Lytechinus pictus: one gene and its partner. The protein of the gene in region 2 purifies or fractionates together with the protein of the main gene of each other region. This does not show direct contact. Links are inferred from orthologs where the notes say so. Each region holds a gene or a part of one and is shown on either strand. Other genes may lie near its edges.

What was found.
Region 1: the proteins of nucleoporin Nup43-like (region 2) and nuclear pore complex protein Nup133-like purify together in Homo sapiens (affinity purification with mass spectrometry; 5 studies listed by BioGRID and IntAct, counting the BioPlex papers as one, with this or other methods). This does not show direct contact. The link is inferred for Lytechinus pictus from reciprocal best matches to the Homo sapiens genes NUP43 and NUP133.

The regions. Positions count from the first base shown.
Region 1 is NC_087251.1:11,269,515-11,285,962, reverse strand, and holds the start of nuclear pore complex protein Nup133-like, read right to left. Parts: upstream 8,947-16,448; coding exon 8,844-8,946; intron 1-8,843. UniProt on the Homo sapiens protein: Involved in poly(A)+ RNA transport. Involved in nephrogenesis.
Region 2 is NC_087258.1:19,772,702-19,789,496, reverse strand, and holds the start of nucleoporin Nup43-like, read right to left. Parts: upstream 6,060-16,795; 5' UTR 5,985-6,059; coding exon 5,868-5,984; intron 3,819-5,867; coding exon 3,636-3,818; intron 2,822-3,635; coding exon 2,744-2,821; intron 2,587-2,743; coding exon 2,424-2,586; intron 1,598-2,423; coding exon 1,462-1,597; intron 963-1,461; coding exon 811-962; intron 1-810. UniProt on the Homo sapiens protein: Component of the Nup107-160 subcomplex of the nuclear pore complex (NPC). The Nup107-160 subcomplex is required for the assembly of a functional NPC.

The DNA of each region.
Region 1 (16,448 bases), on a different chromosome or scaffold from region 2:
TTTCTCTTCAAATTCTTATCTTTCTGTATGTTCGTCTCTCATCTTCAACTTAATCAAGTACTGACCCTATATTTTGGATCCTTCATTTTGTGGTAAAACTTTTTTTTTTGAAAAAAAAATCTTTACCAAAATAACCTTCATTTGGTACACATAATTATAATCACAGGACTTTTGAATATGTTCCTTTTAACATCGCCAGCCCATCCTTGTTTTTAAAGCATATTTATTTTCTCTCTTTTTTATAATCATAATACAACAAATTGATGATACTTATCCGAATTGATTATATGAGGAAACTATAAAAATACAAGCACTGCTTTTATTTTCCCTTCATGTGTGCATCTCTAATCTGCAAATTTAAATGATATTACCATTTTGAAAAATGTCTATTCAATTATAATAGTGTACTATTATATCGTTTATGTTTTCTTACTTTTCGAATATCAAACTGTAGGCCTTTTATATTTTGCAGGACATGAAAATAAACCAAACTGAAATACGAACAGTCAATTCCCAACACTTTCTGCAGTATGCGGGACAACACTTTTCTTTAGTTTTTCTGAATGACATTCTAAGAAAATCGATCTTATTTACAGAAAAGTTGAGTATAAACACAAGTGAAAAGTCTTTCCACATCATTTCCGTTGTATATTGGTGCAGTTAAATGCAGAAAACACGACATATTTCCGTTTCGTGCAGTAATTTCAAGCAGCAAATGACACGGAAATCACACTCGTTTGCATTGCAGATGAACGCTAAAGGGACTAGCAAGATGGCAGCAGTCACGTGACTACGTACGATTGCGGGCAACACTTCTTCACGCTCGATCAGCTTTCCCCTTCCTTTTATTTCCGTGTGTGTTACCGTGGGTGCTGACTTTCTACAAATGCACCACCCCGTACATGTTTATGCGCTATTGTCACCTATGAGGTTAAAACTTTTATGTTTTGACCTCATTGGCACTAGGAGTGGTGTAAAGAGTTGAGTATTTAATAAGTGCTATAATCCAATAAGCACATGAACTGGACAATAAAAAAACCTATTCATCATTGACATCAGTGATTTTACGAACTCGCACTGGTCTCTAAAACACAATCTCGAGATAAAAGAGTTCAAAGTTTCAGTGTTTTTTTACACTCATAACTTTGAAAGAAGCCATGGTAATCATGTACACCAATCAGGGTGCTACATAACTTTTTTGAAGCACTTGCCCAGTCGGGCAAGTAAATTTTCAAATAGTTGGAAAATACTTGCCCGAATATAGATTTCACTTGCCCGAAAAAATCCTTCAAAACAAAGTTTTATTGCTTCAAAACAAGTTAAAGGCTTTAAAAATACATTTTTCAACATGACTACTGATGTACCTTGTAGTTGTATTTCTTTTTTTTTAATGATTTTTATCTTGAACATCATGACAAAATATAGGGTCAATATGCTCTTTAATTAATTCCCTAATCTCATACATTTTCCATATATTTTGGAGGGGACTAGGATACACAATAAAAAAAGGGGAAATCACTGAAAATAACCAGAGAAAGGACGAAGAAATAAAGGAAGAAAGAAAAAAAAGAAATAAAGAGAGAGAGAGAGAGAGAATGGCTGCGGGGATGAGAAAGATGGAAAGAAAGAAAGAAATGAAGAAAGAAGGATGGAAAGAAAAAAGAAAGAAATTAAAAAAAACTGAGGGGAAGAGATAGAAAGAAGGGAAGGAAAGAAGGGAACAAATAAAAAAAGAAAAAGAAAGAAAAAAGGTAAAAAGAAAGAAAAGAGAAAAAGAAAAGGTAAAGGACTGATGGAAGGAAGGAAAAGAAATAAAACGAGAGAAAGGAAAGAAGGAAGAAAGAAAAGGTATAAGGATAGATGGAAGGAAGGAAAAAAAAAAAAAAAAAGATAAAATGAAAGACAGAAAGAAATGAAGGAAGAAATGAAGGAAAGAGATGAAGGAAGGCAGAACGAAAAAATAAGGAAGAAAAGAAAGGATGGATGGAAAAAAAAAAGATCAAAAGAACGAAAGACAAAAAAAGAAAATCAGAAAGAAAAAAGGAAAGAAAGAAAAATAGAGAGAAAAAAAAATGAGGGGAAGAGAAAGGAAGAAAGGAAAAAAAGGAACGAAGAAAAAAAGAAAGAAAGGAAGAAACGAAGAGAAAAAGAAAAGGTTAAGGACTGATGGAAGGAAGGAAAAGAGAAAGAAAGAAAACGAGAGAAAGGAAAGAAGGAAGAAAGAAAAGGTATAAGGATAGATGGAAGGAAGGAAAAAAGAAAGAAAGAAAAGAAAGATAGAACGAAAGACAGAAAGAAATGAAGGAAGGAATGAAGGAAGGCAGAAAGAAAAAATAAGGAAGAAAAGAAAGGATGGATGGAAAAAAGAAAGATCAAAAGAACGAAAGACAGATATAAAGAAAATCAGAAAGAAAGAAAGGAATGAAGGAAAGAAATAAAGAAAGAAAGAATGAAAGGAATGAAGAAAGTTAGGAAGAAAAAAAGACAGGAAGAAAAGGTAAAGAATGGATGGACGGAAGGAAGACAGTAAGAAAGAATGAAAGGAAGGGGAAAAAGAAGGAAGGATTAAAGAAAGTGGTAAACAAAGGTTGGATCAATGGAAGGAAGAAAGATAAAAAGATAGAAAGAAAAGAATGACAAAAAGAAAGACAGCTATAGTAACAGAAAAAATTAACAAAAGAAGGAAGGAAATTTAAAGAAATAAAGAGAGATCCAAAAGGAAAGATTGAAAAGAAAAGAAGGAGAGATAGGCAGAAAGAAAGAAAATAGAGAGGAAGAAAGCTCAAACTATCCAGTCATAAATAAAGAAGAAAATTTATCAATTTCCTTGGCTAAAAAAAAACAGTTACGAAAGAAACCACGTTTATCAACATACACACAATGCATATGTGGGACTGTCAAAACAATGTATTTCTGTGTGTGCGATACAGACGATCATTCGAAACCCAATCTTTTTGAAGCATAACAGAAGTGAAAATCCTCCTTTTACTGCTTACAAATGACAGAGCTACCCCAATTTTTAGGAAATATGGACATTACATGAATTTTTTTATTGGTAAGAAATGTGAATTTGACAGTTCTGTAGGAGATTTCTTCCAGAGCAAACTTCGTTCGTGCAGCATCGTACTCCGTAGAAACTACATGCATGTGCATCGGCTGCGTGGACTAGGCGCTAGCTAGCTAGGTATGCTAGACTGTCATTGATTCTGTGTGTGTGTGTACGTCTCTGAGCTGTGTGTTAATTGCAGAAAATGGCGCAAATTTTGCAATTCGAATCATGATCGGTCAACAATTAAAGAAGAAGCATTTTGTGTGACTGACGACAGACGACGGACCGCCACGCCACAAAACTTAAGACTTTTTGAAAGAAGAAAATTAATGATATTGCCTTTTTTGTGTCTCTTTTTCTTTTCTATATTTTGATGGTGAAACATGGGGAATCTTTCTAAGTAAAATATAATTTCCATAGGAGAATTTTGCTTGCCCGATTCGGGCAATCAGTTTTTGACTTTGCTTCAAAACACTTGCCCGACTCTAACTTTTACTTGCCCCGGGCAATCGGGCAAGCGCTTATGTCGCACCCTGCACCAATTTAAAGCATACATTCTACCCTTTCATAAGATGCAAAATTTGACTTTATTCTTTTAATATTTGAAAAGAAGTACAAGTATGCATTTCAGAAACTGCTAATTTTTACAAAAACAGGGGATTTAGGTCACTTCATAAAATCATGCTAACCATGTGCCTTTTTCAAAATACTTTTTATACATAATTATTCACAACTAAAATGTGATGCAAATAATTATCATTTGTTAAATAATAAATTGAGTATAAAATTGTGTTACAAACAGTGCCTCATAACGGTAGTTCACCGTCCTTACATCAATGGGAAGCGAGTTCTGCCAATTGTGTTATAAAGCGTGGGAACATTTAGTAGCTGCAATTAAGAGATAGGTCTGTCTGGTAAGAAACCTTTTAATTTCATCTTTTGTTATTGATATTTTCTAAATCCTTTATATGGATTAAAGTGGAATACAGTACAAGGTTAATTCTATTTTTCCCAAAATTAATGTGGTACATGTAAATATGGATTTTCAAGGGAAATCCGTCATTGTTTACCATGTACGACATGCAGGTCTGTAGCCCCAGTGTCTAGGCTCTGTGATGAAAAGACAAATATGATAAAAATATCATCAGAGTCCTCTAGGCTAAATGCGCCCCCGCATCGTACTTATGACATGCACTGTGCACATCCAGATCTAGACCGATATATAGGTCTATTTCTGTCAGGGATATGCTCCGCTAAGACTTTGTCTGGCTACACGGTATCCCCTTCGTCAATCGACCAATGACGGCCATTGGGCTCGTAATGGTGGAGGTTCGACCAACGCTTAGCTACAGCATCAATGGAGAAAGGGGAGCGCAAGATTCGATTACTACTTAATTCACCCTTTTGATGGGCGAAAAGGGGCGCAATAATAAAGAGAAAATAATAGTGTATATAATCAGCTTACCACCTTTCCAAAATATATACTGGAATGTACTAAATTTAAAAACATTCAAGATCTTTATGATATTTATCGGCCGATGCAAGTATTTTACGATTCATGATATTTATCGGCCGATGCAAGTATTTTTTGGGCACTGCTCATGATATTATCGCCCTCTATACGCGTCTTATAGCTAGGCTATAACAAAGATGGCAAGATGGCGACAATAACAGACTGTGAGTAAACGCTCCTCTACTTTAAATATTTTCAATTTTTTGATAATAAATATTATTTTACAATATGACCCTTTAGTTTAAAAAAGGGTCTAAATTGTATTGTAGCCCATTTACATAAGTTTGGGCTCAAAACCCTTAAGAAAACAAGTATTTTGGCAACAACTTTGTTGTTGCCAAAATACTTGGTGCGCATAGAGCAATGGCATCCCATCCCTGGCTCCGTGGAGATTAAGCACGTCAGTGATATGACATTAATCTCCAGGAACCTCCTGGCTAAGCTTGACTCCATCACTCAGGAACAGTACCCTCTTCCATCAGATTCGTAAAGATTATCTTAAATGATGTACTAGTTATCTCCTTATAAACTTCTCTTAATACTCTGGAGCTGATTCCATCTGGGCCAGGAGACTTATTAATGTCCAAGCTTGGACAGTATCTCTTCTATGTCTTGTTCCCTGAATTCAATCTCTGTCAGCTCTGTCCGAGTCTTCTTCTGAATACTTGGTATTGAAGTCAGATCCTCTTCATAATCATTATAGTTTTTTAATGTTATAATTTGTATTTTCCCCTTTTATGTTCAATGTTTATATCTGGTATTCAGTATTTATTACATCATGTATTTTACAATATCATATATATATTCAGTTTCCAGATTCTGTAAAGGTGGCAGCGCTAATAAGGCTTTCCCTTTCTAGTTGCCTCCTCATTCATTTATAAATCATGTACAATCTTTTCTTTTAATTCAACTGTTTCCCAGATTTTATCATTGTAATATTTGCAATTTTCCCATGTAATTTATGTAAACTTTGTATGTACCTTGTATTTGTTTTTATGATGAATGGAATAAATGCTATCAAATAAAAAAAAGAAGTTATTATTGTTGTCTCAATAAAAACAATATTATTATTGTCTCATTATCATTATTGTCTCATTATTATCATTGTTGTCTCAATAATTATTTTAATTATGATTGATAACCGTCATGATCAGATCTATAACGTCCATGCGCAGTGAGTCACCATGTGCAATTTTTTATTGTTGCGCCACTCACCTGTCACTTTCTGACCAAAATGGTTCTAGAAATTATTTGCAATGTTGAAAAGTGTCTTGTGGCATCTGACATTAATCCTCAGTAATTCCCTGAAATGCTGCAACGTTTGGTTAAAAGATCCAGCAAAAGAAACAGGAGTTTAGCGCAGTCTAGGCCTGGGACTTTCGGGTATTTTTGTCTTCGGGTACCCGTGGTAATTTTCGGGCGGGTACCCGAAAATCATGTCGCATGAAATATGACTGGTGGAAAAACCCCATAGGTGACGTCATCCAGCCACTGCGCCGCAAGCAAACTTATGAATGAAAATATAGTAAGCATGCGCAGTGCAAGCCTCCCGTGCCCCACGCATTATTCCATCAAAACAAGTCTGCAATACTTTGTCACTTCGTACCAAAATCGACCTAGAATTCTACTTTCCTATATTTCATATTATTTATGAAATATTTTCTCAGAGGATCTGTTTTCTCACCGATACCACACAGGTAAGCAAATTTTGATTACTTCTTGCTTTTCCGTCAAAATCTTACGAAGTAGCGTCGATATTACATCGTGTTCGTGAGTTTGTAGAATCTATCGCTACATGCACAGAGTCAATTGATTTCCGGGTAGTTTTGGAGCGCCGAATGCGCCAGCCAATCACGATCGTGTTACCATAAGGTATATCGTTAATCAGAACCGCAATGCATCATGGGATCGAAAAGGGGGCCGTTAGCAAGCTCTGCGCACGTGCAGAGCTAGCTAACGGTCCCCTTTTCGATCCCATGATGCATTGCAATTCTGATTAGCGATAAACCTTATTTCCAGTTTATGATGAACTGAAAATAGTAACACGAACGTGGTTGGCTGGCGCTTCGTATGCTCAAGCTGCAAAAGAAACATGGCGACGATCGAACGATCTCAGTCACATCATCACTTGAAAAACTTGTATATTTATGGATATTTCGAGGGTAATTGGTGAGATTCAAAATGAGACTTGTGTACTTTTGTGATGAGTTACAATCATGTCTTACACTACGCAATACAAATCAAATACTGGTAAGCAATTTTCGGGTATTGATTTTTCTACCCGGGTACCCGAGGCTTCCGGGCGAGACCCGGGTACTCGGGTTTTAGTCCTAGCCCTAGCGCAGTCAAAGTCAGACTTGCAAACTGGATCCGTACGGTGCGAATTTTAGCTGCCATTTTTCTCGGGCGACGATTTGGGTAAGAATTTTTTTTGGTGCAAAATTGAAGGTTGAAGATCGCCGATTATTGCCAATGGCGACTCACTGCGCATGGACGTTAGGTTAGATCTAGTCTAACTTAATTCTAAATATTCATAAATTTTTTGTTGTAGGTATGTTGCAAAAGCGCCCTACCTCTAGGTGCATTCTGAATGCGGCATTGAGTGTGCTGCCTATAATCTCAGGGTGACTGGGGGGGGGGGGCATTGCTTTGTATTGTGTTTGCATGTGCAAGAAAAGGTTATTCCCAATGACATTATTGTTTTTACGTAGTTGAATGTTTATGGCAGCTGTCTAGACTTGAACAAAAATCTCACTCGGTGATCTTGCAGCTCTGTGTGCTACTGGAACTTTGGCCTTGCTTTCAACCTCTTGCTATTCAATTACAGGTATCATCCCACTCTAACAGGTATTCATTCCGATAGAACAACATTTCAACTACATTGTGGTGAAATTTGAAAGAAATCTGCTGACGCTAAGTGTGTTTTTTATGTCCCTGTTTCGGCGATGTCTGTAATTTTTGGGAGTGTTGTTGGGCACTTCCATTTGCCAATGTATGCGCATTGTTGTTTTCTATTATATTAGTGCACCTTGGTCCCAATTAAGATCACAACTTTTGTTTTTAAAAACAAATTGAAGAGTCGATTTGTGCGAACTTAAAACTACCATAACTTTCTTGTTACTGGGGCTCTTGAAATGAATGAGGTATTAAATGAAAGTTCTTGATCAGCTCTAAATGATGCTATGAAGCAAACACCTCATTTCTCTTCTTTTTTTTTTTTTTTTTTTTGCAACATACCTATAGGCCTAGGTGAATTTGTTGTCTCACTTCAGACTCAGCTCAGCCTCAGTCAAAGACAAGTCAAAGAAAGTGTCTCACTAACATTATTTTAATTAGGGTGTCTGAAGCCACACTGAAAAGTGTCAGCATAAAACAGGCTAATTTAGGGGAAAATATGGCACATTTTGGGGGGGAAGTTCAGGCTACTAGAAAAATGTGATCTGAATTGATTATTAACTTGTGTTTGGCATGTATGGAAAGAGAAAATTCAGGGGCTTCTTTTGATAGTAAGGACAAGTTTATATGATCATTTTAAATAAGGATATTTAGAGATAAATTGCAAACCCTTATTTTTGTGTGTGTTGAGATTGCCATTTCTCCATGCGTTTTCTATGGGAAAATGAAATTTCTGTTTTGCACGATTTGTTTCACTTTGTCCCAATTTTTCATTGTGATCTGGTTTCCAAATCTTTATAAAAATCATACCATCAGATAGAGCATAAAAAATCCTATTGGACTCACTATGGACAAGTTTTTGGCATTAATAATAAACTTATAACAGCTCTCGGAAGCTAAAAATTTGGATTTGTGTGTGTCCATTTCTTAACTACACAGTCTATGGCAGAGAAATGCTGAAAACTTACCCAATTTCATTCTTCTTTTTTGCAGCCAATAATTGGATTTTTTTCAAAAATGTTACATTTCTGTCAGTCTGAAGGTCATTTCTCTTCAAATTCACAAAGAAAATGTGATATTTTCTTGAAATAAGAAAAATAATTTTTTCTCCAGACACCCTATTTTAATATGGTTGTCTCAATAATTATTAATCATAATTAGTATTATTAAAATTATAATTATTATAATAACAATTATTATTATCGTTGTCTCAGTTATTATACTTATCAATCTAACGTTAATCAAGATCCAGACCTCACGTTCCGATAAGGTTTTAATGAAAACCGGTAGGCCTACACAGATTTCAATAGATGGTACCGTACAACACATTCACTTGTATTGCACTTTGTATTGACGAATTAAACAAAAATAAAAATTAACACTTACGATCAGCTTGTAAAAGTACTTCTGTTATTAGGACAGGAAGCGATGGTCCAAACGTTTCAACACAGTACTGCGGTGTTTCTTCAATAACTTGAAAGCTCTGCATGATTGGCGTCGATTCCCTGACCAGTCCCAGTTTCCAATTTCACCAAATTACCCGCGTCGCCGCCGCGTGAATATGCGAGGGATATAGATCACATACGAATTATGTCATTCACAAATTGTCTTATATATTTTCCTTTATCCGAAATAAATCCCAAGTTGTATCGATCCAAGGGGGAGGGATATCCCCCTAATTAAAAGGGGCATTACCTGCTTAATCATCTCCCAATAATGCACGGTAGAACATTTATGATGGTAGTGATTATTATCGTATATAACAATCAATTTCTTTTTTCTTGTAATGTTTATAGGGCTCATATTGTATATTTTTTTCAATGATTAGGCCTATCATCAATATCATATTCATAACAACAACATCAATGATGAAAAGTAGCATTAACAATGATAATGATACTGAAAGGGAAAGGTGTATATAATATTCAAATCATGTTAAAATTTATCACAAAATTAGATTTTTTTTTTTATTAAGAGGTCAAATATTTTGCTTGCTGGCTTGAAAATAAAAATGTCCCATAGGCCATGTCTAGCCCCGGCTCAAAATTGTTAGCTCATCACATCGATCACAAACTCCCCTCTCTGAACTTAAAAAAATACATTAAAGAGAACGATGATGTAATGAGCCAAAGATTTTAAGGAGGCCAGATACAGATTAATATAGGCCTACGGTAAAATTCATTGTGATCGAGCAAAAATTTCGACATTTTTGTTACAAAAATCCTATTTTGTGATAGATTTTGACATAATAGTCGGGTAGATTTGATCAACATTATTGTATGACCGTCAAGTTGGGTATGACTGCGATTTTTTTGCTTGAAGTTGTAGTATGGGGCCCGGTATGGGGTGTCTACTTCAAGAATCCGACGGGTGCCACCTGGGAACCCTTGGGCATTTTTTTGTTATTGACGTCATAGGCCACGCCCACTTTTTCACATACCTCTTAAATATGAATTTCATATTTTAAGGAATAAACATGTTTGGTATAAAAAATTAAAGCTAATGAAAAATCAAATGTAACATTTATGGATCATTGGACAATTAGATCACGCATAGGTCAGTTAAAGGTCATTTAAGGTCTTAACAGGTCAAATTGCCTTGCAAATGTAAGAAGTACATATAATGTGGAATATATTATGTTTTAAATACAATCAAGTTGGATATTATGTGAATCTATTGGCAAAGGTTAAGTTGAGGGTGTGCATATCAAGAATCCGACCGGTGCTACTTTGGCATCTTGAGGAATTTTAAGTTTGTGACGTCATAAACCACACCAGCTTTCTTACATTCCTCTCAGCGGAATAAACATCATGTTTGATATAAAATTAAATCAAATTCAAAATAAAATCCACATATATATGAATGACTAGGCATTTAAAACTTTTCCAGGACAATTAAAGGTCATTTTAAGGTTATAAAAGGTCAAACTGGGCCACAAACGTAATAAATGCAACATATAATGTGGAATATCTCATGTTTGGTTGAGGGTGTGTATATTAAGGATGTGACGAGTTCTACCTGCTCACCCTTTGGCAATTTTTATATCTGACGTCACGAACCACGCCCACTTTTCACATATATATGGCCTATGAGTAATTATCATGATTATGACAGAAAGTGACACTTTATAGAATAAACCTAACGTGTTTGCTAACTAATTTAAGCTTATGGCAAGTAAAATGCAATTATAAAAGTTAAAAGAGATTAAATACAAGACAAGATCACCAAAAGTGCAGTAATGTTTAGGTAGGTCAAATGATGTCAGGCAATGTAACAAGAGTTTAATAAAAACATGTAACATAAGCTTGGCATCGTATCACCAATTTTCCTACATGAAATAAAACTGCACAGTGTTTTTTTTTAGTTTATAATCAAGGACAGAATCATATACAGTAACAGTAAATAATGTATAACACACAATTTCCAGTTTAAGATCAATCGTGTTGGAGACACCTCAGAAAATGACTTCTTCAACACAAATTCACATTTTAGACAAGTATCCAATTGGACAAATTTGACATTTTACATCCTCCTAACTCCACTATCATGTTGTTCTCTCATTCATCTTCCAGACTGATTTCCCCCTCTTTAGTCTCAACTGCATGTTCAGTTTTCCTTGTGTTTAGAATGACACAATGTTATTTACATACGATCTGTACGATACACGATAAGAGGCAAATGCTTACCCTAGAGCATGGTGGCCCCGATTTAAATCCACATGGAACAAGTTCTGATAATTATTCCTTGGGAGTAACTAATGTGCTATGAACAGGTACAGGAGTGTTCTCCTAACTTATACTTCCCATCGATGCATGGGAGGCAATTTGCAGGGGAGTAATTCTGATCAGTTGCTCTCCTGATCAAGCTCCTGAGGAAGAGCACCTTTGATAATCATGCTCTTTTGCTGACTTGTCAGTTGGGGGTAGGCCTATGATCTTTGAAGCATCTGCCTTCTTGCTAAATCATGTGAATTATATTAGAGAGACCATTACATTTGTTATATTAGTAAAGCAAGATGAAGAGTATGAATATTACACATTTAATTCATCCAGTCCACTTCTTCAGCATCGGACTCTATATATTAAGATATTATTCGAGCAGCAAGTTTAAAGTGGAAAACTTTCCCTTGCCAAATTGACACAACATTGTATTACAACCTGATAGGGAATCGTGCAAGGCTAGTATTTTCCTCTAAACTTCAATGCAATACCTTTAATGCCAATTACTTTTCCATCAGTATGCAAAAGACTTGCAAGCCCAAAATGAGAAGACTGGTAGAACAGAAAGGTTAGTGTCGTCAGAGAATTTTTTTACATGCATCTATTGCCATTACATCTTCAGAAGATAGTGGAACAGGGCATTGGACCTTCCGTACTTGTTCATGACACAGTGGTTGTTCCCAAGGAATTAAAAGAACCTCCTTGTCGATACAAGTCAGCGTCACCCTGTTCTACAACTTTTAAAGATTAATGCAGTTGCTGGTCGGCCGTCGAATCACGTATTTCATAGTTCATACTGCAAGTGTGAATCAAAGTAACACATATCTGGCAGAGGCATGTAGTTGAGGTTGTTGGTGAAGGGGAATCATAATGAGCATCCGGTCGAAGAATTATGGTACAGAGGGTAGTTGTGAGAGGAATATAACAGGACATTGTGTAAGATGTTAAATTGGTGTAGATTATTTGGAATCCCATGGAATGATTTGATACAAAATGATAAATTAAACGTTTTGTATAAGTCCTGTGAAAGTCGAGCAATCATCAACATTTCATGCGTGTAAATGACTTAAAGGGCACCTTTACATGTGCTTCATTTTTTGGGTAACCTTTATGTACATTCCATTTTCAATAAGCTTTAATTTGATACCAAACATGATATTTTCATTTTGTACGCTAGATATTAAAATATATCATCAGACAATGACGTTGCCCAAGGTTGCCAAAGCAGCCGAGCTTCGTCAGATTCTTAATCTGCACATCCTCAACATAACTTTCAGCCAAAAATAGACCTACATAAATAATGCCTAACTTGTTTGTATTCCAAACATGATATATTCCACATTATTTGCTGCATTACTTACATTTGTGAGCCAATTTGACCTTTTATGACCTTAAATGACCTTTAATTGCCCTGGGCACGTTTTAAATGGGTAGCAATTCATATTATGTGGATTTTATTTTGCATTTTATTTAATGTTATTTCAAACATAATATGTTTATTCCGTTAAATAGAAAAGTCATATTAAAGAGGAATGTAACTGAAAGTTTGTGTGGTTTATGACGTCAGAAAAATAAAATTCCTCAAGATGCCAAGGAAGCATCCATCGGATTCTTAATATTCACACTCTCAAACTTAACCTTTGCAAAAAAAATGCATATAATACCTAACTTGTTTATATTTAAATCATGGTATGTTCCGCATTACATGTCTTACTTATATTTGTAAGGCAATTTGACAATTTATGACCTTAAGCGACCTATAACTGACCTATGCGTGATTTAAATACACAGTAATCCATATATTTGCATTTGATTTTTCATAAACTTTAATTTGATACCAAACATGACATGTTAATTCCGTAAAATATGAAAATGATATATAAGAGGTATGTGAAAAAGTGGGCGTGGCCTATGACGTCAATAAAAAAAAAATGCCCAAGGGTGCCCAGGTGGCACCCGTCGGATTCTTGGAGTAGACACTCTATACTACAACTTCCAGCAAAAAAAATCGTAGCCATACCCAACTTGACGGTTATGTTGGGGTGTTACTTGACTAAAGCGTTGAAGTTCTGAAATTTCACCTTCACCTGGTCTAATTCAAGTGATTTTTCTGATATTGTATCTCTTGATTACGAAGAAAACAGAGTACACAATGGTTAAGCGCTTCAGGCTCACGCGAAGCTTGGAATTCTCTGTGATTTATATTTAAAAAAAACCCAACAAACCGAACAGTATATATATATATAATTTTGCTCATAATGGTGCTTCCAATTCAAAATTTAAAATTACGTGAATTGAGGGCGCAAACAAGACAGGGGATGGTGTACAGGGATATAGAATAAAGTTTCATCGCATATATTATTTTTGTATGTAGCATGCATGGTATAAATTTAATGCCTGCCCCTACGAGCAGATACCTGCCAAAAATTGCTTGCTAAATAGAGGAAGAAATAGCATATGGGGAGTGACGGTGTTTACCCGCTCCGATCGGTAGCGCGGAAATCAAATAGCCATAATTATCTTTACCTCACAAATCATCAATTTGAAATAAATAAGATAACTTTTCATACTTTACACACCCGCTTCTACGTAATTCTGTACGCGAATGTATACTTTTATACTGTACGGTAAAATAACTGGGGAGGGGAAAACGGGGTAGAAAAGGGGTGTAATTAAGAACAGGGAAAGACAATTTTGTAATTTTACCAGAGCGCGTAAGCAAAACTTTTTTTGTATGAATTAAGAGAGAGAATACGTCTCGTTCAGGTTTTTATTCTTTTGAGAAAAAAAAATAAAGAAGAAAACCAATAAAGCTAAACCCTTATTATTTTTTCTCCCTTCACATTTTTTACCTTTTCACCCCTTTTCCTTTTTTTTGGGGGGGGGGGATTTTTAAGGGGGTTTGGGTGACCGCCCACACCGCCCCCCGGCTACTCCCCTGAATTTAGATTTTGAGGGTAACAGCAAAATAAAAAAATAAAAAAATTGATACAGCCTTCCCTGAGAAGTGATAGCTTTTAAAGTAAACTGTCGATGCATAACAATATCCAAAGACCGAGTCTATCGATGGGAAAATGTTACAAATTCCCTACTGCTTTTGTACATCGTATGACATTTTTTTTTTTTGGGGGGGGGGTCAAATTACTTATTGGAACCAGGCATGAAATATTGAATATCGTCATGTATTGTAACTTACTCTGTTACGACGGAGAGCTTGAATCACCAAAGAAGTGAATTGTCATGTGGAACAGATTCAAACTGATAGACAAGTGGAATGCCTCTGGCGGTCTCACCTGCATCAGCAGTGCTGACTTTAAAAAACACAATTTAAATAATTATTCACAAAAAACACCATTCATATAATGATACAATACTACGTTCATTGACATTGGACCTTGATCATGTGACCTAAAACTTGTCAGTGATACATGATTACCCCTATATCCACATGTTATACACTATATCTATAAACTTTGAAAGTAATGACAGCAATCTAATAATTACCTCTAAAATGGCCAAAGTTCAATGACCTTAAATGACCTTTGACTTTGGTCATGTGACCTGAAACTCGCATGAGATGTTCAGTGATACTTGACTACTCTTATGTCCAAGTTTTATGAACTAGACCAATATACTTACAGAGTTATGATGGCAATTCAACAAATATCCCCAACATGGCCAATATCCATTGACCTTTGACCTTGGTCATGTGACCTGAAACTCGCACAGGATGTTCAGTGATACTTGATTACTCTTATATCCAAGTTTCATGAGTCAGATCCATAAACTTTCAAAGTTATGATGGTAATTCAACAGATACCCCCTTTACGGCCAAAGTTCATTGACCTTTGACCTTGGTCATGTGACCTGAAATGCACACAGGATGTTCAGTGATACTTGATTACTCTTATGTCCAAGTTTTATGAACTAGACCAATATACTTTCAAAGTTATGATGGTAATTCAACAAATACCCCCAATTTGGCCAAAGTTCATTGACCCTATATGACCGTTGACCTTAATCATGTGACCTGAAACTTGCACAGGATATTCAGTGATACTTGATTACTCTTATGTCCAGGTTTTATGAACTAGACCAATATACTTTCAAAGTTATGATGGTAATTCAACAAATACCCCCAATTTGGCCAAAGTTCATTGAACTTTGACCTTGGTCATGTGACCTGAAATGCACACAGGATGTTCAGTGATACTTGATTACTCTTATGTCCAAGTTTTATGAACTAGACCAATATACTTTCAAAGTTATGATGGTAATTCAACAAATACCCCAATTTGGCCAAAGTTCATTGACCCTATATGACCGTTGACCTTAATCATGTGACCTGAAACTTGCACAGGATGTTCAGTGATACTTGATTACTCTTATGTCCAGGTTTTATGAACTAGACCAATATACTTTCAAAGTTATGATGGTAATTCAACAAATACCCCCAATTTGGCCAAAGTTCATTGAACTTTGACCTTGGTCATGTGACCTGAAATGCACACAGGATGTTCAGTGATACTTGATTACTATTATGTCCAAGTTTCAGGAATCAGATCCATAAACTTTCAAAGTTATGATGGTAATTCAACAGATACCCCCAATTTGGCCAAAGTTCATTGACCCTAAATGACCTTTGACCTTGGTCATGTGACGTGAAACTCATGCAGGATGTTCAGTAATACTTGATTAACCTTATGTCCAAGTGTCATGAACCAGGTCCATACACTTTATAAGTTATGATGTCATTTCAAAAACTTAACCTTCGGTTAAGATTTGGTGTTGACGCCGCCACCGCCGTCGGAAAAGCGGAGCCAATAGTCTCACTCTGCTATGCAGGTGAGACAAAAACTATATTTATTTATTTATTCAGTCATCTATTTATTTATATATTTATTCATTTATCTATTTATTGATTTTCTTTATTTGATACTGCAGGGTAGGCCTGTTTAGGTATGCAAAACTGCTTTCCAAAGGCGCCTAGCTGCAGTTTAACAAATAACTCAACATCATAACAATTCAATGTATGTAACATAATAAAGTAAAAACAGCATACATTATATAGATAGAGTGAATCAACAATTATCATGGAATCATTACATCAACATCAAGTTATTCAATTTAATTACATGTATGACAGTCAGAATTTTTATGATTTACAGTGTTTTTTTAATAATGGAGGGACGTGCATTTTTGTATATCACAACGGAGCGAATTAAATAAGACGGCAGCAACATATTCAAAAGATTTTCTTTTATAATGGTAT
Region 2 (16,795 bases):
GAATTCATATATTTTTATTTAATATGAATTAATTATGCTAATTTATTCATGAAATCATACTTTTTGCTCTGATTCACTAAATAAAGCTCCTAGAATGCTATTTTTGGTGAAAATATTCTTTATAGCATTCCTAACAATTGTGAATGAAAAAAATTCTGGTACCAAGACCGATTTCTTATGTATTTTATTGTTTTTTAAATTTCTTATGTATTTCTTTGTTTTTTTACTTTTAGTTTTTTTATAGTTTTTTCTATGGAAATCGTTCCAGACTTAATTCTGATCATAAACAAGGCAAAATTAATTAAGTTTAATCATTAAAAGTAGAAATAATGATACATTTATGAATTTTGGCCAAATACACAATTTGCATTGGATTTGTACATGAAATCACGTTTATGAGCAATTTTGGGTCTGACATGCACTTACATAATGTTGCGTAATGTCGTAACCGCGTACCCGGGCGTCACAAATTTGGTCTCAAAATTTGCGCGAGACTTGAAAGTAAAAAGTCAGTGAGCGGCGAGGTCAAAAAATTTTGCGCAGCAGATATATCGCGAAAATTGTCGAGGGGGGGGGCCATAATGGCCCCCCCCCCCGGGAGAATTAGGGTTAAACATGAATACACAAATCTAATATCGCAATTTATTGCAATGTAAGAGACCTGCCATAACATGGTACTAACATTATCTTACTGAGCTTCAGTAATCCAGTCAATTTTGCAGAAGGCAAAAAGAAGAAATTATGAGGTTGATTCTTCGCATCAAAGCTGAAACAGGAAAATTATGGCAATGAAAAGCTGGGATATCATACCGTGACTCTGGTGAACTTCAAAGAGTGTGACTGGTAACTGTTCCTTTCTCATGTCCCAGATGTTGAGGATGCCATTCTGACCACCAGTGGCTACAAGATGAGGCTGGGTTGGGTGCCGGTCTACACAGTGAAGGGGCACCTTCTCTCCAGATCTACATATAAAAGTAGTTCATAATCCAGTTTACCATTCTGTGTCATGTTCAGTGATTATGTTGAAACAAGGATATTTTGGGTTGCCTGCATCTCATTACAGGACAAGGATCAAAAGAAATAAAATGTGCCTAACTTACTAAAGAGTTTTATGAAAAATGGCACTCTGGTGGCATTAACCCTATCTAGGCCAGGGTATTTTGGGAGTTCATATGGCCGAGGCCAGGCCCCCCTCCCCCTCGAGATGTCGGCCGTTGACCGCGCCGAAATTGAATTTGACATATATATATATAAACATTCAGTACAATGTCTGAGTCAAAAAGTCACAGTGAATCTAGTCTCCTGGTTCAGACTGTTTTATGCTCTATTCCAAAACCAAGGGTATGTGCCTGCAGTTGTACCTTTAGTGTTGAAAAATGCCATTTTGTGAAAAAATGGAAGAAAGTAAATGCTTACTTGAATGGGTAAATGAAAAAAATTGTCAAAAGATGGGTTACTTACACTATAAAGAACCTTGTTGGCTGTGAGCCCGGCTGCCGTAAGTCCCATATCTTGAGCTGCCCAGCCGAATTCACTGTTATTACCTCATGCTGTTTCAGGTGTGTCAATGCGTTGATGCTGCAGCTATCAGCTTCATCTATGTATGATGAGAAAAAATACGCAAGGGGCTATTTCATAAGCTCTTCACAAGATCCGCTTAATGCAAAACTGGTGATGTGACCAAGATATGTGATATCTCACTCATACAACTTCCACATTACCCTAGTACATGTTTCACTTCTCTTTTATCTAGGCCATCATTATATTCACTGTATTCTTTTTAATGAGACGACAGGTAATAGATGTTTCATCATGGTTGAATTGTTTGTCAAATCATTAGAATGAGCAGAGACTCAAAGGGAGATGTTTTGGGGATAATTTCATTGTCCAAAGGGGTGAGTTGTACAAGTATGACATCAAAGAGCTTGTTTGCATGGCCAATATGAGGATCTCCATACCATTAGTGAGCTTAACATTCAAGTGCTCATAAATTTCTTATTGCCAACTTCCACTGATCTTATTCATTTATTTTCTGCTTTCAAACAAGCTAACTTGCTCCAGGGTTTTCATTCTTCTTTAAAAAAGAATTTTCTTATTGTTTGTCTGCTAATATTCAAATTTTCATCCATCTTCTTGTCCACCGGCGTAAATTCAAGCAGTGAACCTATTGATCATAGGAAGGGGGGTATGAACTATTGTCTTCCCCCTCAATTGATTGGTATGACATTGTCTGTTTACACCTGTGTTCTTGTCTGATTTTATTCCTCCAAAAAACAACTTCTTCAAATTTTTTTCGTGGACAAAATACCCTTAACTTTTGGTTAAAACCCTTTTTTTCTTCTTTTTTTTTTGCTTGTCAAATTTTTCCTCAAGAAAATGTGCCCCCCCCCCTTTCGAAAAATCCTGGATCTGCCCCTGCTCACCAATGGTTCTTATCGGTTGTCTGTGCTCCAGCCGCAGGACGTTAATCCTTCCGTCCTCTCCGCAGGTGGAGATGTCCGTTCCATTGACGGCTATGCAGGTACAGGAACAGGTGTCGGCAGGGTGGTGATGAATGCCGGACCATTTCTGAGAGGGCGCAAAGTCCTGAAGAGGTAGAGGAGGTGAATTTTTTATGATTATTTTACCTTATCATTCATTATACCAAGTGGAAATAAGACAATAAATGCACAGCCAAACTTGCAAATAGACAAAGTGGCAATTACACAAAATAGTTTAATAGTATTTCCATGCCCAGACTTACCCCTTTAGCTTTGTTGCACCTGAACGCTTGAACACTTCCGCATGATGAAGAAGCTAAGAAAACATCTTGGTTGACAAACTACAGGAATGAAAATAGAATACAAGAATGCCAATTATTTGCACATTTACCCTGAATGGACCTAAGAATGACATGCTACAAGATTGATAAAGTGTTCAAGTGAATAAGTGTAGAACAAATCAGAATATGAAAACATCAAGATGTCTAAATTCCTTTTTGGAAAATGAAATAATGAAGCAATTCAAAAATAACTGCAGGATTGGTTATAAAATTCCAGCAAATCAAAGTTCTTGGAAGATCATCGAGTGTAACATTTCAAAATAGAGGGGAAAATTGATTAAGGGGGGTAAAAAAAAAGAGAAGTACGGTAATACCATTGATTGCAAAGCATGGGCCTCCAAGAGCCTTAGCAAAAATTTATCGAAATGCAGCATAAATCACAGTTATCTAGTGCTTACTTATAATTATGATCATGTAGCGAACCAATTAAATATGAATGAACATAGGAATTCATGACCCAAGGCCAAGAATAGATAATTAAATTTTATCATGGTACATGTACATGTATGTGATTTATTGTTCTGGTCACCCTGCCTACATACATAGACATGAACAAAAGTCAGGTTTTGCAGGAGCTTAAAACTCTAACAAGGAGAGTTTCATGTTTGAGGAGGCACTCACACATATCTTGCATAATCTGATTTTTTTTTAAAAAACTTCAACTACGTGAAATACATGTCTTACGGATGGTCAACTTTTAATGCCAACTTAATTTCACATTTTTTGTTTCATTGAACTTCATGAAGCAATATTAAATCTTAGATAAATCCAAAACAAAATAGGAATGAATCAATCAATTATAGAAAACTTATACCTGTATATCTGTGACATCCCCATCATGTTTCATCTGACAGAGCAATACAGGCTCCTGTTCTTCTTCTCCTGCTTGTCCTTCTAAGGCTGTGGTCCTCTGCTGTGGATAGTCTTGTTGCCAGGCTCCTGCAGCCCCTGCTTTGTTCTGGACACCTGGAACCTTCCAAAGTGAGATCTTATTCTCCTGCAGATTTTTTTTTTGTAAGATGAAAATGAAAGAATTATTCTCAAAGTTTACACAATAGACAAGATTGCATGGCATGGCCATAGGAGACCTAAGATTATTTCTGACGATTTGAAACCAATCATCCAACATCAAAGGTTATATTTATTACAGTATATCATGATAAGAAAAAAGAGAAAATAGCTCGGCGTCCACTCTCTCCCGTTCAAAATTGCACACAAAACGGCAGACCAGTCCCGATGGGAGCATACACGAATTCTAGCTCAAGTTAGCGATGAAAAGATCTGCCCACAGCAGCTCAACTGTTTGTTCACATGATTTTAGTCGCTAACTTCAGTTTACATCAAAATTACTTGGATTCGCCTTAATTTTGATTATATCCAGACTAAAGTCACATTGACTGAAATCATGCAAAAAAATGGGTGAGCTGCTGTGGGCAGATCTTTTAAATAATTTCAACTTCAGTTAGAATTTGCGCATGCGCCCATCGATAGTCCGTCATCTTGTGCATTGTTAGACCAAAAGCTTCAGTCTCTGTATTTTGGTTGTTCCGCTGAACTACGTTGGCTCCACTCACCAATACATAGACTGAAGAGCTTGGAGGCCCGTACGTACAGCCAACGTATTAAGTGAACTAACGTTTTATAGGTCGCGATTTTAAACTGTTTTTAAGCGAAATTTACAGTTTCATGGTTTCAATTATCAGGGAAATATAAATAACTTAAGTAATTGCGTACCTTGGACAGAAGTTATTGAAAAAAATCCTCTGGATGATTGAGAAATCTTTCATCTAAGACATTTTCACCTGAGCTGAGGGTTTTTCTTGCAAGTTGCCATCTTGAATGACTTCATTATTGTTATTAACTTTTTAATGTCTCGATATATCGAATGTCGTCTGCTACCTGTGATGGTAACGGTGTTTCGGTACGCTCGCGTATGGAGCAGATCGTATAATATCGAAAGCAATATCGATATCATATTCGTGATTGTTGACGCCCTCTCCGTTCGTTTGTAAATATTTCATAGTTTGGCTGCCATTTTGACCATTTTTATCGTGTTCAACCCAATTAAACATCGGTAAAGTATAATTTTCATGCCTTTTCATCTATATCGTTTAAAGTATTTTGATAATGGAATATCAAGTTTTAAAAGTTTGTTGGTTATACATCCTTAGATTGTAAATTCGATGTGTAAAATTACATCAAACTTTGGACTGTGAATTGACAAAAGGGAGGGAATGAGAACACATGCGAGCCCACACGTACACCCTACCGTCGGTAAATGGGGATTACAGTAAAATGTCAGAAATTGTTGAATAAATCCCCAGAAACGACGGTTATTCCTGTCTAGTGCATTGTGTGCAATTTTGAATGGGAGAAAAGAAGCCCAACTATTATTTTGAGGATCATGTTGCCGAATACTAGTACTAGGCCTAGTAGTAGTACTTATTGAGGATAGGGAGTCTGTGCGGACAAACATCATTATAGTACTTATAGCCTATAGGATTGAGCCGAGGTGGGTGCATTTCTGCATGATTTGCTATCTTTCTTTTTTTTTTATTTGGGGTGTTTTGAGGTATTATTGTGGTACCCCTTGGCCTTGTGAAAAATCTGATCGTGAAGTCCAACTCCAACTTAAATCTGCAAAGCTTAAGTGCCCAAAAGGCAGGCTAAAAAAAAAAGGCCACCCCCAAAAAATTGTCTTTTCAATTCATATTTCATGGTTATCATACCCATAAAATAAATGTTTTTTTAATCATCAATTTTTCATGCCCACAATTATGAACATGATGAACGTTAATCATGTCATAGTATTGGTAGTTTGCAAATTCGCCAGTAATTAGAGTACATATGAATGACTTTATTGCCAAAAGTTAACTTGCAAATTATTTCTTTTTTGGGGGCAAGACGGGCGCTCCCAACCGAAAGCGGTCTCGCGTACATACGCAACGGAAATAAGCATCTGAACCGTACACACTAAGTTACAGCTCAATTGAATTTCACAAGTTTTCATTCGTGATCTATCGTCAAGGAGCTATAAAACACGTACCTCATCATCCCAACTTCCGGTTAAAAATGTATCGGAGAATTGAATTCCTTTGAATGAAGAAGGCTGCCATCTGACTTTTCCAACTTTCTGCGAAACAAACTTGACAAAAATATCCATTTTATTTCACTTCAGACAAAGTCTTCAAATCAAATTTTGATTTTCCGCTGCCGCTGTAATTGTGTGAACGTAGATGGCGCGCATCGCATCCGGTTTGATTTCTGGTTGAGGGGCCGGGGGGGAGTAGGGAAGGAAGGAATGGGGGAAATAATTACCTTCTGAATCAAAGAATGATCGAGTCAGAATTAAAGATCGATTAACCCCTGTACCATTACCATAATTCTACGATCATTGGTGTCTCCGTAAGGCGTATAGGTCTAGATACCCGGGGATACCCGCCACAAAGATGCACCCAGCCAGCTGAGCAACTCCACCTTAGACAACAATCGTCACCAGCCAAATCAGCATATGTCATCACAATCCTGATCATGCATCTTCACTCGTCGCGGGCATGGGCGGAAATCCCAGGGGGGACAGGGGGGACGTGTCCCCCCTACTCAAAATAGTAGGGGGGACACAATATCAAATGTCCCCCCTACTATTTTTGTCTTTTATGATAGTAAGAAATACATCATTCTAAATCGATCAATAAAACATGTATTTTGGGACGAGTTGGGACGAGATGATAGTACTTTTGGGATGATAACCTTTTTTTTGCTAGTCAAATTTTCCCGCCCCTTGTCCCCATAGGCTGATCCAGGGGGCCGAGGCCCCCCCCCCCCTATTGGCGGAGAAAAAAAAAGGGAAAAAAAGGGAAAGAAAGAAGGAAAAGGGAAAAAAGGAGGGAAAAGAGAGGAGAAAAAGAAGAGAAGGACGACGAGTGCATAAAATAAAATGAGGGGAAGACTTGGAAAATAAAAAGAATCTTTCGTGCCACTATATAAAATTTTCGCTCGCGCTTCGCTCTCGCATTGCCTGTTAGGTGATTGACATATCTTGTTTAATATGGAGCTCAACTATCAAGTTTGGAAGTCAATATACAAAACATATTTCACCTCGGAAATCGAACTTTCATTATTTTGTGTGATTTACAAATTGATTTTTAAAAGGTGCTCTGTAAAAATGTCAGTTTTATGGTCTGAATAATGTTATCAACATTCGCTGCTTCAGTTTATCAAAATTTTAGCTCGCGATTTGCGCTCGCATTAATGGTTAAAAATATATTAACTGATGCATCCTATTCATAATTACAAAAGTGAAATGTCCAGTTTTTATGCCATAATATCATCAGATTTCTCGCCCTCATTAGGCATCAATAAATATGATATTAATTTAATAATTAAATTGTCCCTTTTGTTTCATCTCGCGCTAAGCAAGAGGAATAGGAAGATAGTCATCATTTTCATGACATGTCGTATAAGGCTGTCCCGGTCCTATGTCAAAACTCAAAGTAAAAATAATGAAAATTTTAGCTCTTTTTTTTAAGTGTGATCCATTTCCACTTTACAATTTTCCTACAAAGTGCTTGAAATATAAAGCTGTAATTGACTTTTTTTTCAGATCGGAATATCAATGTTTCATGATTTTCATGATTAAAGATGTATTTAGAATGCCTAGATTCTTGTTCTAAATTATGAAACACGCGCGCGCATGTTTATTCAAATACTCCACTTGTTCTCTATTTAAATCATTATCCAGTTTCAGATCACAATATCAAAATTTTTCTGCTTGCGCTTTGTGCTCGCATTATTAATGTAGGAAGACCCCCTTATATTACTCATCCTTTTCATGATTTACAAAACATTGATTTTGATTGATTTATTTTATTTAAACACGTTAAAAAGCCCTCGATCAGCCTATGGCTGTTTACAAAACATGAACAGAGTGGCCCATTTTTAGGTCTAAATCTCGATTTTTTTTCTGCTCGCATCAATTGTTGAATTATATAGCTATCCTGTTCACGATTCCGAAAATTGATTAAAATTTTCCATTCTTTCTTTAGAAATTTTCAAAAATTTTCAGCTCGCGCTTCGCGCTCGCACTTTTTGATTGTTGAAATATGTAACGCCTTCATGGCTTAGTGCAAGCAGTCTTTTCAACAGGTACCAGTTCAAAACGTATATAAAAATTTTCTGCTCGCATTATTAATACTCATCCTTTTCATGATTTACAAAACATGAATAGAGTGTCTCGTTCAGTAAATATTATAGGACTAAATCTCGAAATTTTCCGCTGCCGATCGGGGAAAATATGGCTGAAACAAATGTCCGCGCGCCCCCCGCCCCCCCCCCCCCCCCCCCCCCATTGGCGAAGGCTGGATCCGCCCTTGTGTCCCCCTACCTTTTGGGAGAGATTTCCGCCCCTGGTCGCGGGACTCGTCGCCATGAATATTGTCGACATGGCCGTCATCATATTCAATGTTCATGAGTACACCACGTAGGCCTACCTTACCTATCATCGTCATGATGAGTTACCTCCATGAGATCATGACATAAACATAACTGGAAGCTACTCGAGAGCAGTATATTACCAGTAAAAATCACACATTTTGTACAGTTGGTTTCTAGTATTGTAGATAATGTAGGTTAAGTTAAAATATAATCTTGTTTCATATATTAGGAAGATTGTTGTTTGCTTCAGATGTTTGCATATTATTTGACTGATGGATATGTATGTATTTTATCATTTTTTTATCCATATTCCAGTACTTGTCGTAGTTTATACGTTTTGTTACAATATGTTAATGTTTTATACTAACTATAGGACCCCATTGGAAATAAGCCTTTCGGCTTTCATGGGCTATCCTGTCAAGGTATTCTTCAATTTAATTGTAATCTCCTGTGATATTTCAATCAATCAATCAATTCGTCGTGTTCATCATCATCATCCTCATCACTATCACCACCAACGTTATCACCATCATCACTCTCCTACTCCTCCTCCTCATCATCTTCCATGGGCGAAAATCCCATAGGGGGCAAGGGGACGCGTGTCCCCTACTTCAGTACAGTGGCGTAATTAACAGGCGGGGGGCGGCGGATTTCACCGGGAAAATAAAAAAAACCGGGAAAGAGAGAAAGGGAAAGGGAAAGGGAAGGAAAGACAGAAAAAGAGGAAAGGTGAAAAAGAAAGGGAAAAAAATGAAAAGAAAGGGAAAGAAAGAACATAAAGAGGGAAAATGGAAGGAAAGCGGGAAAAGGAAAGGAGAACACGTGAGGAAGTACAAATATCCTGAAATACTAATACACTATAGCATGATACCAAGAGAGGGATATGAAATCAAAAGATATGACTCAATGGCACGGACAAGAATGGCGGGAAAATTGGAGAAAGAGGCAGAAAGAAACGGAAATGAAGGTAGAACCAAAAGCTTAATTGGAAAATCAAAATATAGAGAAAAGGGACGAGAAAAAAAGAGAATAACTTAATAACAAGACCGGGTTGCCGAGGATAGAAAAATATAAAGAACGGGAAGAAAGGTGGGATGGCGTCTATTATTTGCCACCTTTCGCAATCCTCACGGCTCACGGACGCTAATATTAGGGTCCCCTAACACAAAAGTTGACGCTTAATCATACACTTGATTTTTAAGATTGATTGTACATTACAGGGGCTGCGGAACGGTTTTCAAAGTGGGGGGGGGGGCTGAGCCAAAAGTGGGGGGGGGCTGACCATGCTAAAAAATCACAATCATATGGTCATTTTTACGTTTTTGTACACGGTTTTGGAAAAAAAGTGGGGGGCTGAAGCCAGAGGCGTCGATCCATTTTTCAGATTGGGGGGGCAAAATCATGAATCAACATTCCAAAGGCGCTCGATCACACAAAACAGACTCAAACACACACACACATATGCCTATATGTATATATATATATAGATTATATATATATATACATATATATATATATATATATATATATACACACACACACACACACATCTCACCAACAAATTAAATGTAAAAAAAATTAAAAAATAATAGATGCGAGCGCGAAGCGCGAGCTGAAAATTTTGATATTTTGATCTTAAAAAACAAGAGTTTAATTGACGTTTTTAATAAAGAACAAGAAATAAATCCAACAAAAGATTATTGCAAATCGAAGTGGGAGTTCTTTTGAGGTATAGAACTGAAAACGGGACATTCTATTCACCTATTCAATCATGAAAAGTATGGGTTTTTGCTACAGAAATGATGCGAGCGCGAAGCGCGAGCTGAAATTTTTTTATATTCTAATCTGAAAACCGGACATTTTTAGCACGACTTTAGATGAAGAACGAGTTGTGTATTTCAATCTCGCTTGCTGATTTCTGTGTAACATTACAATCTTATTTTATTTTTTGCACATGCGGAATTATTGGGGGGGCAAAACGATATGTTTGCCCCCCAATATTTTCATTGGTGGGGCGGTTGCCCCCCCTGCCCCCCCCCCCATGATCGACGCCTCTGGCTGAAGCCCCCCCCCCCCCCCGGTTCCGCGGCCCCTGCATTATAGTCAATAGAATCAAACGTAGAAAACTGCTCTACAATCAATGCTAAGATTTGTTTTACAGGGGGGGTTACAGGCCCTACAGATCTGCTTTTCGTGTGCAAAATTCTTTCCCGCGACACCCGCGCGCCATACATGCATGTATTACGACTGATGGCTGGAGATATTCGAAATGCAGGACCTAAAATAGAATATGACATGTATAAGAAAGTGGTGTTTCAAACAAATCGAGTACATATTAAGTGAGGAAAAACTTACTAAATTAAGGCTTAGATGTAGATCATTACAGTCCATGGAAACGATATTGCATTTAATGTGGATTATTGGTGGATGACTGGCAATTGATTCCATGGGTCAGATCACCTCTCCAGCCGAACCCATTTCGCATATGTACACAGCGTATGCAATACGTTTGAACATGCGGGTTTCTTTTGTTTCTTTTGTTCACTCCTTCTACACAAACGATACGCCTCTAGCACACGATGTAAAGGGTATTATGTTTTACTTTCCCCTGAAATGGGGGGTTAGATTCAAATTCCGGGGGGACCACTTCCATTGATGAGTGGATACCAGGCACGACCATGGGGTTTCGAAAAGTACCCTAAACAAGGGAAGCAAGTCTTTTCCAGATTATGAAAATGCATCTTTTAACAATTATTTGGCTTGTGAAACCCTACAAGTATTGGAAATATATCCCTTTTATCAGTATTTTAATCATCGTTTTTGACACCTTTATAACGTTACATAGGCCTATATACGTAACGTACTTACCCACTCTTTCCCTTGTCACGCGTTGTTGCGCCTGGTATCCACTCTTCAATGAAAGTGGGCCCCCCGGGCGGCCTTTCGAGCTCTGGGAGGAACCAAATGTGGATTTGGAAAGTCGTCCTAAATCGGATATATCGCTGTTACCATAGTAGCAACCAGAATTTTGTACACGAAACGCAAATTGAATGTTTCCGTTCCAGATGCGAAACGAAAAAAAAAATCTCATGTCGCACAATTTGCATTGCAGGACAGAGTTTTAAGACCATGACGACGGGCCCAAAAGTCAATTCCAAAATCAACTAACGTCGTAAATAAGCGTTAGCGTTCTTCCAACGAAAGGTCGGGATCATCCCAGGTATTAAGCACCTATCATACTCTGAACGTCTTCGCCTCCTGAAATTGCCATCACTCAGTCACAGACAGACATAAAAGAGGTGACATGATTGACGTGTACAAATATCTGCATGGTTACTATGATAGAAGTTCTGAGCTTTTCTGTCTGAGAAATGGTGGTAAAACACGTGGTCATTCCTTAAAGCTAGAGAAAAGGTCTTGATGTGCGTAAGTTTTTCTTTGCTAACCGAATGATAGATGTGTGGAACAATCATCTCCCAGAAGATGTAGTTACTGCTTGTTCAGTGATTGCATTTAAGAATAGACTGGATAAGCATTGGGAGAAGATTGCCTATGATTTTGAGTGATTTTCGATTCTCGTGTGTTTTCATGGAATTTTGTGCTGGCTACGATACCCCCGCCACCCCTCCCTGCCAACATCAGTAGCGCATCTAATTTTGTCTGAAGGAGAGCAGCAATAGACATTCTACTTTGATCGATGAACATGGTTAGTCCTACAACATCGTTGGAGTACACTAAACTATAAGCTTGCTAATGGTCACAATAAGGACAAACAATCCCGTGAAAAATCCTTAGCCAATTAAAGTAGGTTTAGCCAATATAAGGGCTGGTTATCCCCCGATTTTATGTCCTAAACATAAGTAAAGCTTTGCGCTGGCTAGATTTACCGTGAAAAGCCTGTTTACTTAGGCTAAATTTCCAAAGCTACTATCAAATGAGTAGAATTTAATCATTTTTAAAAGCCAATTTTTTCTGGCTCGCTTCGCTCGCTGGCGACTTTTACAAATGTATCCACATTTTTCTATGTTGTGCTGCCTCAAAATATTTTGTTTATTGTCCCCAGCTGCGTTGAAGTTAATATGTGTTGTGTATGTACCCGCGATTTGATTATCAGTGGCCATCTGCAATGTTTAAAAATATCCCGGGGTTCCGGTGGCTCCGCCCAGACCAGTGGCGGCACCAGGGAGGCACGGAAGGCATTTGCCCCCAGTGAGTTGGCCCCACCCCCGAAATTTTGAAAAATAAAAATATGTATGGTAAATGTTGTCATAAACATCCTACTAAAGCTGTAAAGTGCTCCAAAACAGCTTTTTCGTTCCTTAAATTTTGAAAATTTTCTCATCAATTCACTGTTAGCTCCCAATAATGTCACTAAATCTTTCAGGTCATTATACAAAATTCAAAATGTCGCCCGCGCTATACACGCTCGCAGTAGCTTTTGACTGAGATAAGTAAATTATCTGTTGAAATGGGGCTTATTAAAATCAAACTTTCAAGTCAATATGCTTCTCGCGATTAGAGTTTTCATTATTCGTTTTAGCGAGATATACTTCCTGCCTACTCATAATTTTCATAAATAAAAAAAAATTCAGCTTGCGCTACGCGCTCGCATTAAAAGTTTAATTAGATAGCCATCCAGTTCATGATTACAAAAAGTGCTTATAGATCGAACGTCCAGTTATCATCTCAAGATGTCAAATATTTTCAGCTCGCGCTTCGCGCTCGCATTATTTATTTGGTGAGGTCTCTTTTCAAGTCAGTAGGGTCTACACTAAAAAATAATAGTTCGCGCTTCTTGCTCGATTTTGAGAAATTGGCAAAATATTTATGTGTTGACCCGCCCCAAATGTTCTTTTGCCTCCCCCGAGGTTAAAAATCCTGGGGCCGCCATTGCCCCGGACCCGTTCCGCATAGCACTGACCCCCGAAAGTTCTAACAAAAAAAGAAAAGATGAAAGAAAAGGAAAGGAAGATGTAAGATTATGATGTTATTTTCCGAATACCATGTCAAAATCAATCTCAAAGTTTGATTCTCATGAAAAGCTGATTTTTTTTCTCGCTCGCTTCGCTCGCTCGGTACTTATATTAAGCATCTTTTTGCTGCGCGCGCCACGCTGTGCCCCCTCTTTTTTTTTTTGGGGGGGGGGTACTTATCACGCATTGAGCTTCGCCCTAATGCTCGGGGCACAATCATAAAAAAAATTATGTTCATACCATGATATGACCGGGAAATATTTAGCTCTTGCTCCCCCTGGCCACCAACCCCTGTTACGCCCCTGCCCTACTTTTTGGAAAGGGGGAGACAATATCAAATCCCCCCCCACACACACACACACACACTATTTATGGAAGGATAAAAATAAAAAAAAGGAGAAAGAAAAAAAAGGGAAAAGAGATTTTATGTCCTAAACCTAAGTAAAGCTTTGCGCTGGCTAGATTTACCGTGAAAAGCCTGTTTACTTTGGCTAAATTTCCAAAGCTACTATCAAATGAGTAGAATTTAATCATTTTTAAAAGCCAATTTTTTCTGGCTCGCTTCGCTCGCTGGCGACTTTTACAAATGTATCCACATTTTTCTATGTTGTGCTGCTTCAAAATATTTAGTTTATTGTCCGCAGCTGCGTTGAAGTTAATGTGTGTTGTGTATGTACCCGCGAAAGGAAAGGAAGATGTAAGATTATGATGTTATTTTCCGAATACCATGTCAAAATCAATCTCAAAGTTTGATTCTCATGAAAAGCTGATATTTTTTCTCGCTCGCTTCGCTCGCTCGGTACTTATATTAAGCATCTTTTTGCTGCGCGCGCCACACTGTGCCCCCTCTTTTTTTTTTGGGGGGGGGGTACTTATCACGCATTGAGCTTCGCCCTAATGCTCGGGGCACAATCATATAAAAAATCCTGTTCATACCATGATATGACCGGGAAATATTTAGCTCTTGCTCCCCCTGGCCACCAACCCCTGCCCTACTTTTTGGAAAGGGGGAGACAATATCAAATCCCCCCCCCACACACACACACACACACACTATTTATGGAAGGATAAAAAAAAAGAGAGGAGAAAAAGAAGAGGACAAATAAGAGGAAGACGAGTGAATAAAATAAGGTGGTCGAGAGGAAGACATCTTTCATGCCACTTTAAAACATTTCACGCTTCGTGCTCGCATTGCCTGTTATATGAGATACATATCTTGCTCAATAGGCTGATATATGGAGCTTGAAATGTTAAGTTTTGAAGTCAATTATAAAAAATATGTTTAACATCGAGCTTTCATTATTTCGTTTGATTTACACATTGATCATCATTACTACCACCACCGTGACCACATCATCATCATCGTCACTAAATGCCCACCATTATGTCGTCAACATTATACTTCCACCACCAACGCCATCATTACACCCATAGGCCCGTATTCTGAAGTCGGGTTTAACTTAAACTTGTGGTTTAAGTATGGACAGCCAAATGTTACATAAATCACTAACGGTAGATATATCATATTTCAGCTCATTTGGCTCTCAAATCATTCATAATTGTGTAGCAAGTATAAATAGATGGTTGTCTTCACCATCGATAAATCAGGAAAGAGCACAGTAAAAATAAGAAACATACAACTTAATACAAAATTTGATACATTTGGCTCGCCATACTTAAACCACGACTATAAACCTGAGTTTAAGTTAAACCCGACTTCAGAATACTGGCCCCTGTCACCACCGTATCGTCATCATCATTATCAATATCAATATCTCGCCACCATCTTTACTACAACATCCAGTGACGTAATAAGCCACACATTTTTAGGGAGGCCAGACTTGGCGTATGGGCTTGGTCGTGGAACTTTTTTTGTTGTGGGCCATGTCTACCCATCCCCGTAATGTACGTTAGTGACAGGGGCCGCGGAACGGTTTTCAAAGTGGGGGGGGGGGTGGTGACCATGCAAAAAATCGCAATAATAATGGTCATTTTTACGTTTTTGTACACGGTTTTTGAAAAAATGGGGGGGCTGAAGCCCCCCTCCCGCTTCCGCGGCCCCTGAGTGACACCATCACTTTGACCACCACCATGCACCAATATTGTCATCACCATTAAATTACCACCACTATTTTAACCATCATCAATCACCACAGCCGCCAAAATTAGTATCATTATCTTCATCATCATCATCATTATTTCCTCCATAATGAGGACAATCGTCGTTACCATCATCATCACTTTCCCGATCCCGGGGACGGTGGGGGGGGGGGAGGGGGCGTCCCCGCCACCCTGCACTCATTATTCGTCGTCTAAAATCTAATAAAATATCTCTCACATAATTTTAATAGGGGGTGACGTCACGGACAACCCCCCCCCCCCCCCCCCCCCGCTGTTTGATATTCGCGAATTATCTTATCGTTATTTCACCATAGCTAATAGAGACCACATTGGAAAAAATAAATTCTCTTCTCCAAGTCAAAGTTTAATATATTGCATATTGCTAGAGTTGTTAACTACTAGTAGTTGTTACATTGTTAAATAATTTACAAGTAACTGGAATCACCACATTCTCTATTGCATAATATAATACATAAGATAATAATAATAAGAGCACTTTGTATATCATCTGTTGTCATACCCCTTTCATAAACCCAATTATGCGGCTAATAGCAGCATAATTTGGTCGTAAAATCGGAGGACCAGAGTTATCCGCATTATTTTGATGCTGCTATTATCCGCATAATAGCGGCATCAGGACCAGATTTTGACTTTATGAACGCATTTCCAAATAATGCGGATAATTGCCATGGTGCGGTCACAAGGTCACCCTTTTCCAACACAACCGCATCGGAGGGGGCGTGTGCAGTTGTCATGACGATTATCCGCCTTTTTCAGGACGGGCGCTCGTAAAAATAGTGCGGATTATTTTCGGAGTTTGTGAACGCAATTTTTATTGAATTATCCGCATTACTCTTAGGCGGCTAATTGGAGGATGGGTTTATGAAAGGGGTATGATCAAGGAGGAGCTTATTCGGATCCTGGCCTCTTCTCTTTTCTTTTACAAGTACTTTACATCTGACAGACAGCGCCTTTGATCATACTGATGGCGTTATCAGACGGACGAGCTACGATCTTGTAGAATACATGGGAAGGCAACCTATTGGGAGATAACATCATTTTTGTCCTGCACCAAATTTGAGAATGGTGATGATAATGAAGTCTCATTTTTTAGAAAATGGGTCCAGAATCTGAATTAAATCCCCCTCCACATCAAAAAAAAAAACAGTGAATTCACCAGTAAATGATAAAAAATACTATCGACATGAATAATAATCCTTTACATTATTTTACATCAAATCCAAATTGTACCCTCAAAATAATTTTGTGTTGATTTAAGTGGATCTGTGAGTTATTGAGCGAATCCTAAGTTATTAAGTTACGAATACTCACCCAAAACTGTTTCTATCAAGTGGGATGTCTCAATATAACTTGAATTTAATGGTACATAAACAAAACATACACGTCACATTGAGGGGCTAATGTAAGGACATCAGACATGCAATAA